2 linked regions of the Lytechinus pictus genome follow. The protein of the gene in region 2 interacts with the protein of the main gene of each other region in a pairwise test. Links are inferred from orthologs where the notes say so. Each region holds a gene or a part of one and is shown on either strand. Other genes may lie near its edges.

Region 1 (10,961 bases), on a different chromosome or scaffold from region 2:
TGCTAGATTTTCTGATATGAGCCATTATAAAATATCTAAATCTGTTACCCTGTTTTGTATGGACTGTGGGATGAATCACAAAAAGCCAAGCAAAAATATTGCAAAAATTAAACAAATGTGGAAAGTTTTCAAAATCATTACAAATAAAAACCTATACAATCACAGCAGAATCAAAATATAATGTCAATTGATTTTAATATTAACATACATTTAAAAAAGGGAATATAATTTCAAATAATATCATTTGATGTGAATTAAAATATCAGTTGTTAAAATATTTTTTTAATGTGTAAAATGCGATATAACACTGCATTTGATAGAATGAGCTGAGAAATTACTAAAAGTGCTTTTTTCTTAAACTTTTAAAATATACTCAAGAAGTGACTAAACAAGATATATTCAAGAATTCTTTAGAATCTAAAATTGTATGACATCAAAAGGATAATTTGTGAAAAGTAGAGTGTTTTCAATTTAACAATAATTAAACAAAGAATAATGTGTGTTGTAAAACAGCTTGATAATTGGTGAGAATTAAATATGTGAAGTAAAATTGATATGTGTAATCAGATCTAATGATATGAACAATTAAATAAAAATCATATTGAACAGTTAATAGATCAGTAGAATTGGACTTATGTTAAATGTATGAATAGAATATGGATGAGTTAAATATCACTGAATTATATTTAATTCATTTATAAACCATCAAAATCAGAGGAGTACAATTTGTGTTAAAACATACAAAATGAAACTAGAAAAATTGAACTATCAACCATTTAATTGTAATATTAACTAATACACCAGCACAACATACCATATTGTGACCTTTAGCTCTTCTACCAAATGTGTATTCCAGTGCGATTGTGGGTTTTGGTGCCTCCTCCTTCTCCAAAAACCGGAGAATTATTGATGTCTTTCCCTTGGTAAAATGCACAGAAAGAAAAGATGTAGCTTTGAGTTGACATGAATAAATGTAATCATCATCAGATGTATCTCTTTAATAAATAAAATTGTACAGTGCTAAGATACAATCAAGATTAGTTTCATATTATAGCATATGCCATTTATCATTCATTTTCTGTATTATTGATCTTATTGATGAACTATCTTGATTACAATAAAATTACAATAAATTGGTGAAATTAATGACAATCATTGTTTACGAAATATTTTGTAGAATTTTGTGATAATTGTTTAATTAACTGTTTTACACATTTTCAAGTAATTTTATACATGTATATTGGCCCAAATCAACAAAATTATGTCAAATAAGTCAAATTTATGTTTCCAAAACAAATATGCACATGTCACTGACATTGGTGGCAACATATAGGCCTATTTGATAACTTACTGCATTTTTACTGCCAATAAACAAAATGTGATTCTCTGAGCCCTTTGTTTCGCCACCTGGAATATAAAATTGTATAAAGCAAGAAGAATTGAATCTGAAATCACATAGTATAGGGTAACAGAGCAACTCTATAAGGCAAAAGTGGATCATCATCAGACTTAGCAGCATCATCATCATTACCAACATCACTATCACCTAGTCACCATTGTCACTATCACTATCATCCTCCTCTTTTTCTGATTCCTCATTTCAAGTTTCTCCTTCCTCTTTAACTGTTTACTCTGTAAATTTAATTAAATAACGAAGTATATGATAATTTCAAAATGGAATTCTTGGCCTAAAACAAACTGTCTGTAAGCAACTGGCAACCTTACCCTCATCTTTGGATTCAGAAGCATTCTTCTTTTCAGCTTCAAGAATGGCAATGTCCCAAATTGATTTCTCCACACTGAAATTATACAAGAAATGCAATAATTCAGATAATTTAGACATTAGCCAGATGTGATTGATTTTAAATGGGGATTTCCATGGGAAATTTTTCAAAAGAATAGGTTCTTAGCTAAATTTTGAAAATAATGCCGGTGGTGGTCACGATTTTAAAATGAATTCGTATAGAATCTAATAACATGACTATCCATGTGTCTGTTTGAAATACATGTATGTGCCAAAAGATTCTGGAAGAGATTGTATATTTGCTGAGGAATTAGCAAAATAAGCACAGGATTAAAGGCTAAATAGGGGGTCTTTTTCCAAGCAATAATGATACACTGTTTCTGTTTAGACAGTGTAGTCTGTAATAGGAACTTGTTACAGACTTTCGCATCCACATGTTTGATGCTTTTGATACATGTACTTTCCAAAAGAATGATTAAGTATTAAACAACATAGTTTTATTCACTAAAAAGGGCAAAAAGAGAAAAGATATACTTTGTGACATATCATGTTTTTTTAAAGTAAATATTTGACATGTATATATATATGGTAGGCTCAGCAGGGCTTGAATTAAAATAATCCAAGGCCATAGAAGACCATGGTTGTAGATTAGATTGTCCTCATAGCCATCAATGCCCCTCTCATTGGCCTTGGAAATTTGTTTTCACTTACATACTGTACCTCTGGCCGAGATTTGCTGTGCCTTTACATTTTTTTTTATTTGTGCTGTAATAATATAGATGTGTATCCTATAGGAAGTGGCATTAACCTATTAAATAATGATACAATTATTGCAAGAGTAATACCTTCTTTAACAATCAGGGCTTCTTTGCTAAACAACTAGACACATAGATCTACTTCTTAGCAATACAATGTCAACATGTATTTTATGTTTGGAATTCATTAAAGGGGTACTCCAGACTGAAAGTAATATGATTTGAACAGATTAAGAAAAATGAGACAAAGTTTGATCAAAATCTGACAAGGAATACCAAAGTTATGCCATTTTAAAGAAAAGATCAACATTATTACAGTGAAACAGTTCTACACATGTCTTCATGAATATTTAATGAGCAAACTGATGATGTCATATCCACACTTGTTCTTTGTATTATATGAAATGAAATTGGATTATTCAATTTTTGTTCCTCCAAGGAAATATTGTAATGACAACTGATTAAGTGCATTATATATTGTTGCAGTAATGTATTTCATTACAAGAGAGACAAATCATTCACACATGTATAAAAAATGAAATAATTATGATTTCATATAACATGAGAAAAAGGAAAGTGGGAATGTAACATCATCAGCCCATCTAATGAATATTCATGAAGGCGTGCATTATTATAACTGTTTTCACAATATATTGTTAAACTTTAAAATTCAATTACTTCGTCTTCGCTATTTGTTATCAGATTTTGATGAAATTTTAAGCATTTTGCTAGAATTTACTATACATCTATTTATTCAATCTAGATACAAATATTTCCCTTTAAATTTCAGCATAAATCCCTTTATTGTGTGTAAAGTTAATGGAAGCACAGACATGGCATGGGGCACCATTTTTTTGTTCAATCTGAAAGATAGTCTAACCCAGGTTGGATCTATAGATCTAATTGAGTTGGGGAAGTACAATAAGAAACAAGATGGCGGCGTAAACATCGGGCAAGTCTCTGAGTCTTCCGTCTTTTCACAATATTGTTTCATTTTTTTTGATGAATTCTTGTTTAAAAATAACGAGAGCGTAGAAATGTCGGAAATGAAGTTTTATCCCATGGCCATGTACATGATTAATTAGAGCTAGATCTTTTTTAGAAGGAAAGTAGAAATCTCGGGGGCGAAAGTTTCAGGGTTTTTTGCGGTAGGCCTACACGCAGATGAATAGAAAGGACTCCTGACCCTGGCTTCGTTTAGAGTAAGCCTACGTTAGTAAATGATTTTTACTCTCAAGAAGCCGCCTGGCTAGCAAATACGTGTGAGTCGGCCTAACGTTAGGGCTGGGCTGGTTGCGGGGGCTGGGGCCTGGCCTTGCCCCTGGGGCTGGGCTGGCCTGGAAGCTCCGTCGTGACTCGTGATCGTGCGTAATCGACCAATCGGGCCATAACGCAGCGGAGCTTCCAAAGTTACGATCCCTGAAGTTCGGGGAAGCCTTGCTCCTTGCCGCTGCTCAGTCGACGTCGAGGATCAATTTTTACGTATATAACGATGTGATTCAATCGGGGAAAAAGGTAAAATAATTGCAAATTTTATACTCACGATTTAGGCATCTCTGATTGTTTTTCTCAAGTGAATTCTGGAATAAACAAGATATAAGAAATAAAGAAGTCGGGGGTCAACATAAAAACATCATTTTTCCGAACCGAGATTTCAATTGTTTACAGTCGTCAAGAGGAATTTCTTGGGTGAACATGCGCACTAGTCTATTACTGAGAGTTCATTCTTAATGATTATAGGTAACATTTATCATTTATATCTATTTTAAATACATTTTTATATAATAATTAATTATTATAAAATATAAATAGTTTATCAAATAACCTTTTTTAAATCATTAATAAATTGTGTCATCAAATTATTTTTTTATATTGTCAGATTGATTTGGAATCTTATTTCAATCGATTACTTCAGGCAAACTGTCGAGCTTCACCGCGGTCCTATCCTCTCTAACGTTAGATCGCTAGATCCTCGGTATTCTTTTCTTTCTGTTCTTTTAAGTTTGATCCAGAAGTGTCACTGGACGGAGGAAATTATTTGGGTGAGTTCCCATCCTCTTTTTTTCGTAGGAAATCTATTTTATTATTTTGTAACCTATTTGTATTACTTTACAATGTTGTAAATAATAAGTGCACAGATCTAGTCCTAGACCACAGTCCCATAAGTTCAGATTTGTGTAGGCCCTAAGTCCTATTTTAGTAATAAGAAATAGGCCGAACATAATAATAATTAATAATAACATACCTTGTTGTGGGCGTAAATTTTGATGATAATAATAATAACAACGGCATTGATGATAATAGTAACGTCATTTAATAATAAGAACAGCATATTTACCTAGTCTTGAGGACGCAATGCCAATGGCAATGATGTCTTGATGATGACTTTTAAAAATCCTGGGGCCGATTGCACGAAAGGGTCTTTCCAAGGACCGTCTTTCGTGTCGCCCATCTTTTATGATACGCTATAAGCGGGGTGTTTCTGAAATTTATGATAAACAAATACAATTCGTAAGCTTGCTTTTAAATCAAATTTATACAACTTTGCGAGACATCACATCAATCATTTTATTAACAAATAGTTTGTTTATTTTAACGGACGAATAAAATATGTTTGCAGATAATTTATTTGAAATGCGTTTCACATGGCGCATCATAAAAAATGGGCGACACGAAAGACGGTCCTTGCAAAGACCCTTTCGTGCAATCGGCCCCTGACATATACTCTTCTTCATCATTGACGTCTTGACACTCTTCCATAGATGCATAAGAGACTGACCAAAACAAAGATGGATTTCCCTAGGAAATCCATCTTTTAAGACAAAAATCATGTAAAGTTTATGAATTTTATTGATTTTTACACCTTCCTACGCCTAATGCGTAGCTCAGTCGGTTAGACTTAGAGCGCCTGTTCCGGATCAGTCACACAACATGCGAGGTTAGTTGTACTAACCTCGCACAACGCATGTCATTTCATAATGAATTTTGACGTTTTCATTCATCACACGAATGTGAGAGAATGACACACGCCAAAATCTTCACAATATACTAAATTTATTCATCTTAATCTTATTGAATGCAATTTTAAAAATATGCTAAAAAGTATTTATAAAAAGGGATTTTAAACGCTTACCTCCAAATCTCAGCCAAGATACTCCGTCCGATCCTAATAATACTGCGGTGGAAATTACGCAAACAACAATCGAAATGCGAATTTTTCCCATCAAACAGTCTAGATTCAAGTCGCCGGCGCATGGGTGTGTGTGTGTACAATACAGAGTGTAAATAACCAAAGAGAGTTTTCAAATGGTGCTTGTGTATAAAACAACGTAGGAGTTTATTTAACAGAGAATGAGTAGTATAGTGCAGAAAATAAAAGTGTACAATGAAGTTTTACAGAAGAGGAAATAATATAAATATATATGGAGGACAGTGCAAGATGAGGTGAGGCAAGCAGTGATGTTTTTTTTTCAAAAGTATTAATAGTAGAGGAAATAATACCAATATATTATGGAGGACAATGTAAGATGAGATGAGGCAAGTCTACAGTGAGGTTTTATCAAAGAATGTATGTAGAGGACAACGATGCAAGATGAGCTGAGGCAAGTGTACAGTGAGGTTTTTTCAAAAGAGGAGATAATACAAATATATATGGAGGACAATGTAAGATGAGATGAGGCAGGTGTACAGTGAGGTTTTAACAAAGAATGTATAATGATGAAATATATGTAGAGGACAATCTAAGATGAGATGAGGCAAGTGTGCAGTGAGGTTTTTTTCAAAAGAGGAGATAATACAAATATATGTGGAGGACTATGTAAGATGAGATGAGGCAGGTGTACAGTGAGGTTTCAACAAAGAATGTATAATGATGAAATATATGTAGAGGACAATCTAAGATGAGATGAGGCAAGTGTGCAGTGAGGTTTTTTTTCAAAAGAGGAGATAATACAACTATATGTGGAGGACAATGTAAGATGAGGCAATTGTACAATGAGGTTTTACAAAAGAGGAAATAATACAAATATATATGGAGGACAATGTAAGATGAGCTGAGGCAAGTGTACAGTGAGGTTTTTTCAAAAGAGGAGATAATACAAATATATATGGAGGACAATGTAAGATGAGATGAGGCAGATGTACAGTGAGGTTTTAACAAAGAATGTATAATGATGAAATATATGTAGAGGACAATCTAAGATGAGATGAGGCAAGTGTGCAGTGAGGTTTTTTTCAAAAGAGGAGATAATACAACTATATGTGGAGGACAATGTAAGATGAGGCAATTGTACAATGAGGTTTTACAAAAGAGGAAATAATACAAATATATATGGAGGACAATGTAAGATGAGATGAGGCAAGTCTACAGTGAGGTTTTATCAAAGAATGTATGTAGAGGACAATGATGCAAGATGAGCTGAGGCAAGTGTACAGTGAGGTTTTTCAAAAGAGGAGATATATGGAGGACAATGTAAGATGAGATGACTCAGATGAGGCAGGTGTACAGTGAGGTTTTATCAAAGAATTTATAATGATGATGTAGAGTACAATGTAAGATGAGATGAGGCAAGTGTACACTGGGGTTTTATCAAAGAATGATAAGATATATGTAGAGGGCAATGTAAGATGAGATGAGGCAAGTGTGCAGTGAGGTTTTTTCAAAAGAGGAGATAATAGATATATATATAGAGGACAATGTAAGATGAGATGAGGCAAGTGTACAATGAGGTTTTATCAAAGAATGTATAATGATGATGTGGAGGACAATGTAAGATGAGCTGAGGCAATTAAGTGTACAGTGAGGTGTTAACAAAGAATGTATAATGATAAAATATATGTAGAGGACAAAGTAAGATGAGCTGAGGCAAGTGTACAGTGAGGGTTTTTTTCAAAAGAGGAGATAATACAAATATATATGGAGGACAATGTAAGATGAGATGAGGCAAGTGTACAATGAGGTTTTATCAAAGAATGTATAATGATGATGTGGAGGACAATGTAAGATGAGCTGAGGCAATTAAGTGTACAGTGAGGTGTTAACAATTAAAGAATGTATAATGATAAAATATATGTAGAGGACAATGTAAGATGAGACTGAGGTGAGTGTGCAGTGCGGTTTTTTCAAAAGAGGAGATAGTACAAATATGGAGGACAATGTTAGGAGAAGGTATCTCATGCATAAAAATTAAAAGCAACTTTTTAATCTATTTCTGCCATTGAGTCCCTGTACAGATCAGGATAGAACTGTAATTGGTGAGTGGAGCCAACGGAGCTCAGTAGAACAACCAATGTAACAGAGACCTAAGCTTTTGATCTATAATCACACTGGCTATTAATTAATAATAATAATAATAATAATAATAAACAGTTCTTGTATAGCGCATATCACAATTATGAGTAATGTCTCTATGCGCTTCCAAAGGACTTGGATATTATTACCCCAGCTGTAGCTTGGCAGCCGTAATTACTAAGATTACAGCGCACACGCATTTCAAGGAATAAATTCCTGCCAGGTAACCATTCACCTCACCTGGGTTGAGTGCAGCACAATGTGGATAAATTTCTTGCCGAAGGAAATTACGCCATGGCTGGGATTCGAACCCACGACCCTCTGTTTCAAAGTCCGGAGACTAATCCATTGGGCCACAACGCTCCAATTATTGATAGCCCCTCCCCGGCCCAACCTCCCTACCCAGAGAGGAGGGGTGGGGGTGGCAGCACCCGCATGAATGGGGCAGGATTATTTATTTTATAGTGTGATGTACTGGGATGAGTTGCCTTGGGTGAGGTTAGCAACCACTTAGTGTGCAAATAATTTTAGTCCCCTAAAACCCATGATCTTAGGCATTTTCTATGGCATATTAAATCTAGACCCAATATCAATAAATGGCATCAGAGTCTAATAATATATTCCCCTGGCACCAACCGAATTTGCCCAAAATGGGTTTTGATTATTGAATCGTAATTGCACTTATTTTCAAAACTAATATCCTTCATACATGTAGACCTATATTTTTAATTTTGGGGACATCGTTTCCCTGTACAGAGTGTAAGAATGATGGAGGAACAAGACGTAGTCTGGCAGAACAACAGTCAAACGAAACAGAGTGTGGGGCTTTTGGCCGAGATTTGAATTAGAGCCAAGAGACAACTTTCCCAATAGGCCGGTACTTAATTATCAGAGATTTTTGGTTTTGTCATAGGTACCTATTCCCCTGTAGCAGTAAGTGAAATATAACACAAGTTGTCTATCGTTTTATGTCTTCATAAAAGAAAAATAATAATTTGGTCGAAAACTTTGAAAAAAATGAATAAATGATTAGCCTTTTTTTTTATTGGAGCAAATTCTAATTCAACTTTAAACCTTATTTGAAATGTGTACCCAGAAAATAACATGGTATTTGTGATTTTTATGAACTCATTAACTCATCAAGTAGATTTTAAATTTGTCACTTGCATATAGATGAGCAAGATGCCGCAACCACAGTCCATTCAAGGATCTCGTCAGGTCCTGCCGCCCATATCGCCCAGCCCTGATGTCTACAAGCAGTTCTTGAAGGAACTTGAAGATCAGATCAACGTGGAGGTAGCCAGGGTAGAATGTGCAGAGGAAGGGCCTGACCCTCATCGATATGCCATCTACAAAGGAGCCTTTGATCAGGTTTGTATGAGCATCATGTTGAGGAGAATCTCCAGTGAAACTTGAGAAAATGTTCTCCAGTGAGAAGAGAATTGGCATGCATTGTAATAATGATGATATTGAAGATATCTGAAAATGAACACAATAAAGATGTTTATCCATGATTGATTGGGAAGAAAAAAGTGATGATACCTTGTAAACAATCTGAAAAAAGGTATTAGAATGTGTTGAGTTTTTTAACCTGGATTTTTTTTAGGGGAGATGTTTAGAGGTGGGGGCAGATTTATGGACCCCTGGCAGCATTTGCTGATAGGATGTTCCATCCCACGAGTGGTTAATAAATAAATAAAAAGAAAAGAAAACCTTTTAAAATTGTTTGACACAATAAATTATATTCTTTTTATCTCTCCCTCCCCTAGATTATTGACAATGTTTCTGCCTACAAGTCCCTCCTGAGTGCAATCAAAGCTGAGTATGAAGATTGCATTGACACCATAGAGAAAGGTCAAGAGGAAGCATTTTACCTCTCTGGAAAGGTCAAAGCACTTGCCTCTGAGCAGACAACACTCAGTCTCTATCAGAAGCGAGCCGATGAGCTTGAACAAAAGTGAGTTCATTTTTTTTTCATGAGAAAATTAAAGTTTTTAGCTCATCCGGCCGGAAGGGCAAGATGAGCTTGTGGCGTGGCGTCCAACGTCCGTTGTCTGTTGTCCGTCCACAATTTCAAAATGCTACTTCTTCGCCATTTCAAGTCCGATTTCAATTCTGTTTGCTTTACATGATAGCACTAGGTGGGGGATTCAAAACTTCTACACAGAATTTTGAAATTCATTAAATATGCTAATTTATGCGCATTTTTCAAAATTCACAAAAAATGCTTCTTTTTTTGTTGACCAATTTTGAATTTTTTGCTTCCATCTGGTAGAGCTTCATGAGGTTCACCAAACTTCTACACAGAATTTTGAAATTTTGACCAGTTTAATTTTCATGCTAATTTATGCAAATTTTTAAAAATTCACATAAAATGCTTCTTCTTTATTTGTTGACCGATTTTGATTTTTTTTTTCCATCTGGTAGAGCTTCATGAGGTCCACCAAACTTCTACAAAGAATTTCGAAATTTTGACTAGAACAATTTTTATGCTGATTTATGCAAAATTAATTTATTCATATTTTTAAAAATTCACATAAAATGCTTTTTCTTCTTTAATTGTTGACCGATTTTGATTTGTTTTCTTCCATCTGGTAGAACTTCATGAGGTTCACGGTACTTATACACAGAATTTTGAAATTTTCAGTAGAAAATTATTTATGCCAATTTATGCGAAATTTATTCAGAAATCACAGAAAATGCCTCTTCTTTATTTGTTGACCGATTTTGATTTTTTTTTCGTCCATCTGGTAGAACTTTATGAGGTTCACCAAACTTCTACACAGAATTTTGAAATTTTCAGTAGAAAATTGTTTATGCTAATTTATGCAAAATTTATTCAGAAATCACAGAAAATGCCTCTTCTTTATTTGTTGACCGATTTTGATTTTTTTTTCTTCCATCTGGTAGAACTTTATGATGTTCACCAAACTTCTACACAGAATTTTGAAATTTTTAGTAGAAAATTATTTATGCTAATTTATGCGAAATTTATTCATAAATCACCGAAAATGCCTCTTCTTTATTTGTTGACAGATTTTGATTTTTTTCTTCCATCTGGTAGAGCTGCATGAGGTTCACCAAACTTGTACACAAAATTTTGAAATTTTGTCTGGAAAATTATTTATGCTAATTTATGCAAAATTTATTCATAAATCACAAAAAATGTTTT
Region 2 (10,687 bases):
TGCAGACTTTCTGGTGTGCCTTCTCCTCTTTTTCCGCTCTGCTTCAAAGATCTTCTTCTCTTCTGCGAAGATGTCCTTGATGGTTTCTTTGGAGATGTCTGGATCTGTCTTCATCAGCTGGATAAATACCCCACCCGGTGATCGCCGCCTTGATTGGTTCTAAGAGAGGAAATAGTTAGATTTACATTGAATTATCATAATTGATGAGTGTGGTGTTTGACAGAACAAAAACAGTCACTGGTCTTTTGTGGTTTGTTAGATTACAAGTGACCCAATATTTAAAAAACAAAACCATTTCAGACTATTACAGGCAGGGCTCTATATCTCAAAGCCAAAACCATGTTTGCCTTTAAATACGTAATCTAATATAAAAGGGGATCAGTCTAAAGGAAAAGCTGTTTTAGAGGAAGAAGATATGGAGCACCAAAGTGTGACATCAGTTGCCATGGTGTCATGGGTGCTGGTTCTAAACAGAGTCGCAGCTGACGATCGTCTGTACACATTTGTATGACTTTGGCTCATCTGAAAAATGGGTTGCAAGCAATCAAATTCCGATAGCAGTCATTTTCTCCTATGAGAAACACACGCTTTCTTTGGGGGGGTTCATTTGTTTAGATCCAGGCCTCCATGACACCATGGCAACTGACCTCATCGCTTCGGTACTCTACATGTATATCAAGCGAGAAGAACAGTTTAAGTATACCAGACAAACAATGAGAATATGAATTCTCAAAAAGTTGTATTCACTATAAATTACATGTAATACCTAGGGAGACTTTCAAATCAGTACCATTGGTGATGTCATTATGAATGTAATGTAGGCTAAAGAAAACTCTTCCACTTTCAGTTCCTTAAATACCCCCAAAAGGCTCAAATGACCTTCTTTTCAGGTACACTTATGCAAGAAAACCAACATCCTACTCATTACTGAATGGAAAGAGCATCAATGCGTGGCAGATCAAATTTAATTAGATGGATTCTCAAATGCATGCATTCAAAATTTTGCCTCTCATATATCATGAACAAGAGTGTTGCTAAGGCAAGCACATAATACGCCTGTCTGTAACACGGAAAATTGAGTTATTGGTCAAGCAAGAAAAGTAAAAGGTGGCAACTTCACCTTTGACCTTCTGGCCTAAAAATGAATAGAATTGCAAGGATCTATGCTAGTATCATACACACCAAATTATATGAGCCTAGGTAACGTTAAACTGCAGTTATCGCGTTTACAAGGACTGCAAAGTGGTAAGATGAAAATATGTCACTGTGACCTTGACCTTTGACTGTTTGACCTCAAAATCAATAGGCTTCCTGGGATCCATGCTAGTATTATACACACCAAATCATATGAGCCTAGGTTAAGTTAAACTGAAGTTATCGTGTTTACAAGGAAAAGTTAACGGACGGAACGGACATACAGACGGACGGACGGACACCAAGTGTGATACCATAATACGTCCCGTCGAGACGGGGCGTATAATTAAAAAAAAATGTTGAGGGTGCCACTACACCCCTAAACCCAATTGATGAAACATAAAAAAATATTTTTATTCATAGCATTTCTTACCGCTATCATCATTCCACCATCATTTTCAATCTCCTCTGTTTGCTTCCATATCTGAAGTGCCTTCTCGACTCCAAGAATCTTGACTATTCTCAGAATAAGTTCTCTCTTTGGCTCTTGGAGGCTGAAAGCAAGCTGACCTGCGATAACCTTTTTCTCAGCACTGGGGTCAATCTCCACCTTCTTCATCAGGACGACCTGTTCAGTACTGTCTGAATGATTTCCAAGCCTGCTCTTTACGTTGGAGCGCCGGAACCTGTCAGCAACCATGGAGCCACGCTTCTTTAATTTTTCCCGAAGGTCATCATGTGGTCTTTCTAGTTCTTCTTCCTCCTGCTCACTATGTCTTGGTGGATCATTTGCAAGCCAAGCGTCATCCTCATCCTCCCCTACTGCCTTCACCAGCTTTCTACCCTTGATGACATCATCTCCAGGAGGAATGTTTGTGGCTACACCAAGAGGGAGCTGTTCTGTATCTTTGTAGCTGTAGCTCTCAACATCCCGTTCCATGACCTGATCAACACCAAAATGTGTGATTTCCCTCTCGACAACCTCCTGGTTCTGCTCTACGGCTACAGAACCCCAGATGTTGTTCTTCCGCCTCTTCCCTACTGTAACCACTCCTCTGTCTCCATCTTTCATCCTTGAAGACCTGTTGTCTGGTCTCTCAGAACTCTTTCCCTGCTTCTGCTGATCCCTGTAGAATGAAGACTCAGACAAGGACAAGGCAGGTGCTGTCTTTCGACGCTTCCAGGACTGTTCATCATCACTGTCACTCTGATCACTTGAATCATCTTCATCACTCAGTTCAAACTTTCTAATGCTCCCTCTTGGTAAATCTTTCTTTTTAGGTGTTGTTTGACGCTGTGTGAAGGCTGCCATGTTGAATTCCAATACTACAAAAAGATAGATCTGCAAAGAGAAGTGATGAATCAGTAATAAGATAAGGTGATGTTAGCCAGCATCTACCTGCACTTATAGAATGATTTGACTTTTCAATAGTAAATTAACAACAAATACTAAATAAATTAACCAAAAATTATTAAAGAAAAAGAATTGAAATAGCACTTTGGTAGTTGAACCTATATCAATCCATGTTTGTTTTTTCATGAATAAAGCTGGATATATCTCACGACGACATATCTGCGCTGATCCACCCAGAAAGAATTGGTGGGATCCATTGGCGGCGGAAGCCAAAAATTTTAGGGGGGGACCACAAAAAAAATTTGACAAGCCAAAAAAAAAAAAAAAAGGTTACCAACAAAAAATTTAGGGCGGGTCCGTCCCCCCCCACCTAAAATTTAGGGGGGGGACACGTCCCCCCCCCCCCCCCGTTTCCGCCGCCTATGGTGGGCTCCGGGCTAGAGAGTAAAAATCATTCACTAATGTGCGCTTACTCTCCACGTAGCCAGGGATTGTGTCCCATTCATGTGCATGAACAGCGAAAAAAAAAATTTCGCCCCCCCCCCCCCCCCCCCGAGATTTCAACTTTCCTTTTAAAAGATTTAGCCCTAAATCCTGTAAATGGGATACAACTTAATTTCCGACATTACTACAATATTGATTTCATTTTAAAACAAGAATTCATTAAAAAACAAGAAAAATATTATGAAAAGAGGCAGCGTAGCTCAGTAAGTTAGAGCGCATATTTTGGAGATTGTAGATCTCAACGTGAGGGGTTCGAGTCCCGATCATGCCGAAACGCGTCTAACAAAACAAAAGTCTGATGCTATAGCGTTGTGTGTTAACTTGCCTCACCACTGTATTCAGTGCAGGTGTGAATGCAGTTGGAAAACACTCCGTCCATCGGAAAGGACGCAAATGTTGGTCCCGTGTATAGCCTAGGCTATAGGAGAGTCACAATTCCTATGCACGTTAAAACCAATACACTATTCGTCAAAGAGTAGGGTGTTCACCCGGTGTATTGCACCTGCCGGTCTCGGCAATATTCAGGTCAAGTACCCAATGCGTTTATGCCCGGGAGGGCCCTTTATCGTATACATCCACATCCAGAAAAGACGGGGAAAACTTGCAGCGATTCTTTACATAGCCAATTAGCCATCTTCATGATCTTGTTCTCTTCATGCTACTGCTAGCCTTTACTTTTTCGCCAAGCTACCACTTCAGTAGACAGTACAACTACAAGTACAACTCAGTACAAGACGCATATCCTCGATATGCATCTTGTAGCTGAATTCATATTTTTTACAAAACTCAAAATACTACCGTTTGATCAAGTACACAGTCACAGATCTAAGTGTCACTGAGTTAAATTGACTGTTCGTCTGTCATTGTCTGTTGTTTTTGTGGTGTTGTTTACACGAGAGTCGATCGAGAGCTCACACGAAAGTCGGTATCTGGGCACGTGTAGACAAGAAACGTATGAAATATATTCCTAAATATATGTCACCATTCATGCCTCAAACACAAACTTCAAACTTCAGTCAGTTAAAAAAGTATTTACACATTAATAAATCAAATTAGAAGAGTAGGCTGAGGCCTAATTGACAAAATAACGTACACTTTTACTACTGGTTCCGGCTAGAATTTGGAGACATCATCAAACAATTATAGTGTCGCCGAAACGTCCAAACGCAAATATAACTATAAGAAAGAAATTTTTTAAAATTCACATGTATACAAATTTGTATCTTGCTTTGGTAATTTCTGCATATGACTGTAAATACTATACAAACTATTTGATATGGAATCTAAAAAAGGTAAATCAATTACTATCTGTACTTATTTTTTAAACAAAATTATTCCCCGGTGCATTATACCCAACGGCCCTGCATTGCACGTTTCACATCCAAAAGTGTAAAAGTCCTTTTTTCGAGCAGAATAATTCGTAAATAATACAAATTCGCACGGTTTGGCTGCATACAATATAAAAAGAGAACATATTCAGCTTTTAAGCGATAGGCCTATATAGAATTGGCTTGTGGGTTCTTAAATGCCGCTGATGTTTAGCATCAACCATCGTATAGTTTAAACCCATAGAGATATATATACTAATATGCGTTATTAGTATATATCTCTATATGTTTAAACCACATATGCAGAGTGAAACAAAAATCTGCACTTCATATGCTAAGCTAATATTATATCAATTATTTAGCTTGTGATAACTTATACCAGAGTCTTTATTGCGATTTCCCGCACGGTCATGTCATAGTTGAAATACTGTTGTATTGGTCATTATTTAGAATTTTTTTTTTGAAGACCTTTTTTGTTTTTTGCTTGTCTATTTTTTTTATACGAGACGACGTATTTTTTGTGTTGTTGTAAACATTTCATTCAGCTTGAACCCCCCCCCCCCTTAGAAATTCCTGCTTACGCTACTGCAATGAATACTAGTAATATCTCCATTTGCATAATGTACGTTCTTGTTGAATCGTGTTTGATGGCTTACATTAAGTTTTGTTAACATTTTACTTCTGAATTAAGTTACTGCCTCCTTTTTCCAAATCATACTACAGGACAAAATCACCCGAGATGTTCTCCGCAATTTACGAAATTATGTCGCAATGTCGGTCCAAAAAAAAATTGACTCTCCATAAATCTTTGGACACTTTGTGAAATTTCATAAATGATATTGTCTTGATAATTTCGGGACTATAGCTCCAAGTCTACTCCTTTCAGACCCGGATTTTTCACAAACGATTGTCATGCCCGAGGCACAATGGCATGGTGGCTCAGTGGTAGAGTGCCCGCCTCGATCATGAACGGGAGGTCGTAGGTTCAATCCCCGGCCGAGTCATACCAAACCAAAGGCAACGGAGACCGAATCTACAATAGTAAATCTATTGAAAATGTCTGTCAAATTACAAAAATTTGCAAATAATTATGTCGTTTGTTCATAGTCCAGGGCGCAGGGCCGTAGCCAGAAGCATTTTGTTGGGGGGGGGGGGTGTACCAGCTGAATTTGCCAACTAAATTTGGCGTGATCGCACCAACGTGAGCACAGGGGGAGTCTGATGGGGGATTTGACCCCCCCCCCCAATAATCACATGCTAAAAGATTTTGAATTTTTAGAATTGAATAAATGGCATTTGGTGAATACTTTAAGGTAAATTATACAAAGATATACAAAGATATTTGCACTGTAAAAATAAACATTTTGGATCAAAATAGAAAGGCTAGTGTGCCGTAGTTGCTAACTTGCAGTATAATGATATACCCTATGCATTAATAACATCAAAATCAAAGATTTGTTAATTTTTAATTGACCTTCTGTGCAAGATGTCTCAACTAAAATTTCGAGAGTGCTAGTGCTAACAGAGGCGTACCGTGGGTCACAGTAATGGTGGGGGGCACCAGCAAAAAATTTGAGTCATTGTGGGCGCGCGAAGCGCGCTCAATTGCCAGGTATACTGACCTAATAGAGACATTTTAAGGACTGTGCCATTAAACGGATATGTATCTTAGTGATCAAATAATGCGAGAGCGAAGCGCGATCTGAAAATGTTTGATATTCAGTCCTAAAAAGTGACATCATAAGCAAAGTTTTGTAATCATGATACACACCTGTCTCACAAAACAAACAATGCGAGCGCGAAGCGCGAGCTGATTTTTTTTGTATAACTTGACCCTAAAAAGGGACATTTTAAGGACTATCTTTTGGAATTCATGAAGTGCGTACGTATCTCATCATAGTCATCTAATGCGAGCGCCAAGCGCTTGCTTATTTTGTTAGAATTACACCTAAGCACATGAAGCACTTTTTGTGGTCATTGTAATCATAAACATGATACGTATTTCACTAATGAAATATTGCAGCCCAGAAGCGCGAGTTGACAATTTTTGAAATTCAGACCTGAAGAGGGGCATTCTATGGCTTGTTTGTAGGAATTTACTATTTCATTAATCAAGTGATGCAAGCACAAAGCGCGAGCTGAAAATTTGTTATAATTAGATCAGAAAATTTTAAGGACTGTCTTTAGGAATTCGTGCACTGTAAAGACGCCGGTGTTGATTTAACACCAGCCCGGTATCTTTATCGGTCCACATCAATGCGAACGTAAGCACAGACTGGAAATGTTTTATATTTTAAGGCCTTAAAAGGGGGCAGTCACTACATTGGTTGATCTATAAAAGTTCTTCATAAACTTCATATGGCTGAAGGTGCGTTCATCCTTTGCAACACTTATTGGTGCTGTCATGAGAAGCTTGCGAGCATTCCAAGTGAGAGGAAGAATAGACTTCTTGAATTGTCAAATCTTCGGTGACAGAATTTAGTAAAAATAACTTAGAACATTTTTGGGTTTTTTTGCCAACTGCAAACTTGTAGACAAGTCTACAAGTTGTAGACTTGTCTTCAGGAATTTGCCAACTGCAGAGTTACCAGTTAAGTCTTGTGTTCTGTTCTTTTTAGATCTGAAACGGCGCAGTACTTGTACATCACTTTGCTGACTGGTAGAGCGTTTAGTGTTCTGCCACTTTAATAGGCCCACTTTATAATTTGCCAACTATACTTTGGCTTTGATTATTCAACTTAAACCTTGGAAATTCATCCCACCCCATATTTCTTTACCTAGTCTTGCCTCTAATTTTACAAAACTAATATGTTTGTTAAATCGTCAATAATTGTGGTATAATTTGCAAACTCACAAGCTTGTTTATATTTGGGGAGGGCCAGGGGCTTACTTTATGTGTTATTATAGGTTTATAGCTCCATCTGTTTTGTCCTTTGTATTTTGCTGACTAGTAGGGCTCTAAGTCTGGCTACATGGACTTGGATTTGCCAATTAACTGGTTGTCCTTACTCTATACGTCGTAACCTTCTTCGAAGTTAGTACCCCTATTTTTCTTTCCTTTTTTTCTTTCTTTCTCTCTTTCTTTCTTTCTTTCTTTCTTTCCTTCCTTCCTTCCTTCCTTCCTTCCTTCCTTCCTTCTTTCTTTTCTTTCTTTCCCTCTTTCTTTTTCTCCCCTATCCTCCTGCTTACAAGCATTCATGCTTTCTTAGCAATCAGGTAAAAAAAAAAAAAAAAAATCACCACCAATTTTGCCAACTGGTACATGATTTTGCCGACTGCCATGAATATTGGGGGGGGGTGTCACACCCCCCCATACCCCCCCTCTAGCTACGGCCCTGCCAGGGCGACACTGCCGTTTCGAACCACCGATTTTCGACAAAAACTGCTTTGTCATGAAGGGCTTTTGACAATAGATTCTCAATGTTCCAGAAAGCGTCTACTCCATCACGTCTTAAGATCCCTACAAATATGCCTACAGGGGCATATTAGGGGTCGGTTGCAAGGGCGGGCGGGAGGGGGGGGGGGTCAAGAGCCGAAATTTCCCGGTCATAAAAGCTAGGTATGAACAAGCAGTGACGTAATGAAGCAAACAAATTTAGGGGGCCAGGGCCCCATCTTACATAGAGTTACGATTGATCCAATCAATCGTAACTCTATATGGAAATCCAACAGTGTCATAATTTTTTTCTACAGGAAATTTGCAATATGTCCTTTGTACACAAAGGAGAACACACCAAATTGTCAAGAATTATTAATCAATGAATTTATGGATATACATTCATATTTAGAATTTTTTATGAACGTGTATTTTATATGTTGACTTTGCTGGCTTTCCATGGTTGCGATTGATCGGATCAATCCATAGAGTTGGATAAAGCGTATCCAACTCTATGGATCAATCACAACTCTTTGTAAGACGGGCCCCAGATATGGCGAAGCGGGGAAAAATATTTTTCAAAAAAGCTATACTAGAAGCGAGCGAAGCGAGCGAGCAAAAAATTTCGACATTTTCATTACAAAACTCAAATTTTGTGATAGATTTTAGCATAATATTTAGAAAGTATATATCACCCTTCGCTAATTCCTTTCCTTTTTTCTTTTTTTTTTCTTGGTCTGTACGCCGCTGTGAACAGGTATTTTTAAAATAGCGAAGGGTGAAATATCATTAAATTAATGATATTTCACCCTTCGCTATTTCCTTTTCTTTAGTCTTTTATTTCCTTGGTCTCTAGCTACGCCAGGATTTTTTTTATGATTGTGCACGAGCATTATGGCGAAGCCAAAGGGCGAAGCTCTATGCGGCAGTATAGGGTAAGGAGTAAAAAAAAAAGGGGGGCACAGTATGTCGCGTGTGGCAAAAGCCTGAGTGAAAAAAATCACCTTTCATAATAATTTGAAATAGATTTTGGCCAGATATTCAGAAAATTACATCATATCTTACACTTTTCGCTTCTTTCTTTTTTGTTCTTGGAAGGGCTATGGCCCGAACCATCAATATTCTGTCCGCCAATGCTACGCGGGTGGGGTCCCTGGAACCTTTTGATATCAACGCCATTTTAAACCTTACAGATTACCGCGGGTATATCTTTACACAACAAATTCAACGCAGTTGCGTAGTATGCCATATATTTTGAAGGGGCACAACATAGCAAATGTGGGAAAATTTGTTAAAAGTCGCCAGCAAGCGAAGCGAAACAGAAAAAGTTGGCCTGTGAACTGAAATTATGATTATGCAACAGATTTTTACATTATATTCAGCAAAATTGTTTTTCATTCATTTTTCATTCCGATGCCTCCTTTATTTTCTTTTATTTCTCCTTGACTGTGGAACCTTTGTATCTGACTTTTTGAGGGGTCCACATTCTACAAGCTTTGCTTTTCAGTGGACCCCTCCATTCTTCTCATGATATATAATTATATTGATTTAATTATATTCAATTGTATTGATTATATTGATTTAAACTTGACATGCATGTTGATTTATATTTGAATTACTTATTGAATATGTATATCATTTCTATTCAATGTTGAATTTTGTTCATGCTTTTATTTAGATTGAATCAATTTATCTTGTACTTATTTGTATTATGTTGAAGAATGAAAAATTAATTGAATTTAATTGAATTGAACCAAGTCCCCTCCCCCCGTACGCCAATGCTTCCACGTGAAGCTAAAATTAATGCAGGAAGGGTCCACAGAGGGGCCCGTCTGCTGCATGGGGTCTGCATGGGGCAGAGCCTCGGTAGCTTTGGAGATGCAACCGTTTACGGTAACACTTGCCAGCGTAAAGCTTCACTTAGTTAGGGAAATATATTTCAGAGGGTTTGTCTATTAGCCTTATAGGCGGACTTTTTGTCCCGATTGACCGCTATTGCATAGAATTTAGCAATCTTAATATAATAGACTTCATACACAATGTTATATGCCATCCATCTTTTTTTCCGATCGTTATTTTCAATCCTCGGCAACCCGGTCGTGTTATTAAGTTCTTCTTTCTTTTTGTCTTTTCTCTTTTCTTCATTCTCTAATTTAGCTTTTGGCTCATTCCATTCTTCCTTTATTTCCCGCTTTTGTTTGCCATTTTGTTATCTTTTAATTTATTTTTCTTTCTCATTAATCATGCTAATGTATTAGTATTTTGGGATGATTTTTTTCTTTCTCACACGTTTTTCTTTCAGTCCTTTACCCGCTTTCCTTCCGTTTTCTCTTTTTATGGTTTTCCTTAGTTTTCATTTCACTTTCCCTTGTCCCCTTACCTCCTTTTCTCCCATTTATTTCTTCTTTCTTTCTTTCTTTCTTTCTTTCTTTCTTCCTTCCTTTCTTTCTTTCCTTCTTTCTTCCTTTTATCTTCTTCCCGTTTAAAAAAAAATCCGATGAAATCCGCCAGGGGGAGGCAGCCCACCCCCCCCCCCCCCCAATTTCCCCGCCCGTTACGCCACTGTATAAACACGCAAGAATTAAGGCGTCCTTAATTGGCATGGAACAAAATATTGAAACCATGTAAAAAGAACAATTAGATCAGTGCTATAAAACGCAAGCTTTCGGCATGAAAATCCCCAAATTTTTTTCATGGTCGCTACATGCACTCCCTTGTATATAAATCGAGGCACAATTTTCCTTTGCATTAGAACACACTGTTTTCCATTATTCATAGGCATCACATCAAAATAAAGTTGAGGGGTTTAGATATTATGCCCCTCCATTAGAGCATGATTATCAACCTAGTGCTATAAAAAGGAGATTATTTCTAACAGAGGCAGCGGAAGCGAGGAGGCCAACAATAAGAAAAGTTGACTAAACTCACCCCGCCCCTGGAAAAAAAAGAAATAACAAACGAAAGTATCGTCACCTCCAGCTCTCCGAATTT

Evidence for each region. The genes of interacting proteins can lie anywhere in the genome.
Region 1: the proteins of phosphorylated adapter RNA export protein-like (region 2) and cytoplasmic dynein 2 light intermediate chain 1-like interact in a two-hybrid assay, tested with the Drosophila melanogaster proteins (2 studies listed by BioGRID). The link is inferred for Lytechinus pictus from reciprocal best matches to the Drosophila melanogaster genes Phax and CG3769.

What each region holds. Positions count from the first base shown.
Region 1 is NC_087251.1:11,932,031-11,942,991, reverse strand, and holds the start of cytoplasmic dynein 2 light intermediate chain 1-like, read right to left. Parts: upstream 4,211-10,961; 5' UTR 4,054-4,210; coding exon 4,043-4,053; intron 1,800-4,042; coding exon 1,726-1,799; intron 1,408-1,725; coding exon 1,352-1,407; intron 920-1,351; coding exon 815-919; intron 1-814. Other genes in the region: clathrin heavy chain linker domain-containing protein 1-like, read left to right, coding at 8,963-9,160, 9,559-9,746.
Region 2 is NC_087249.1:4,990,375-5,001,061, forward strand, and holds the start of phosphorylated adapter RNA export protein-like, read right to left. Parts: upstream 4,165-10,687; 5' UTR 4,086-4,164; exon of another isoform or gene 3,791-4,085; intron 2,477-3,790; 5' UTR 2,447-2,476; coding exon 1,568-2,446; intron 160-1,567; coding exon 1-159.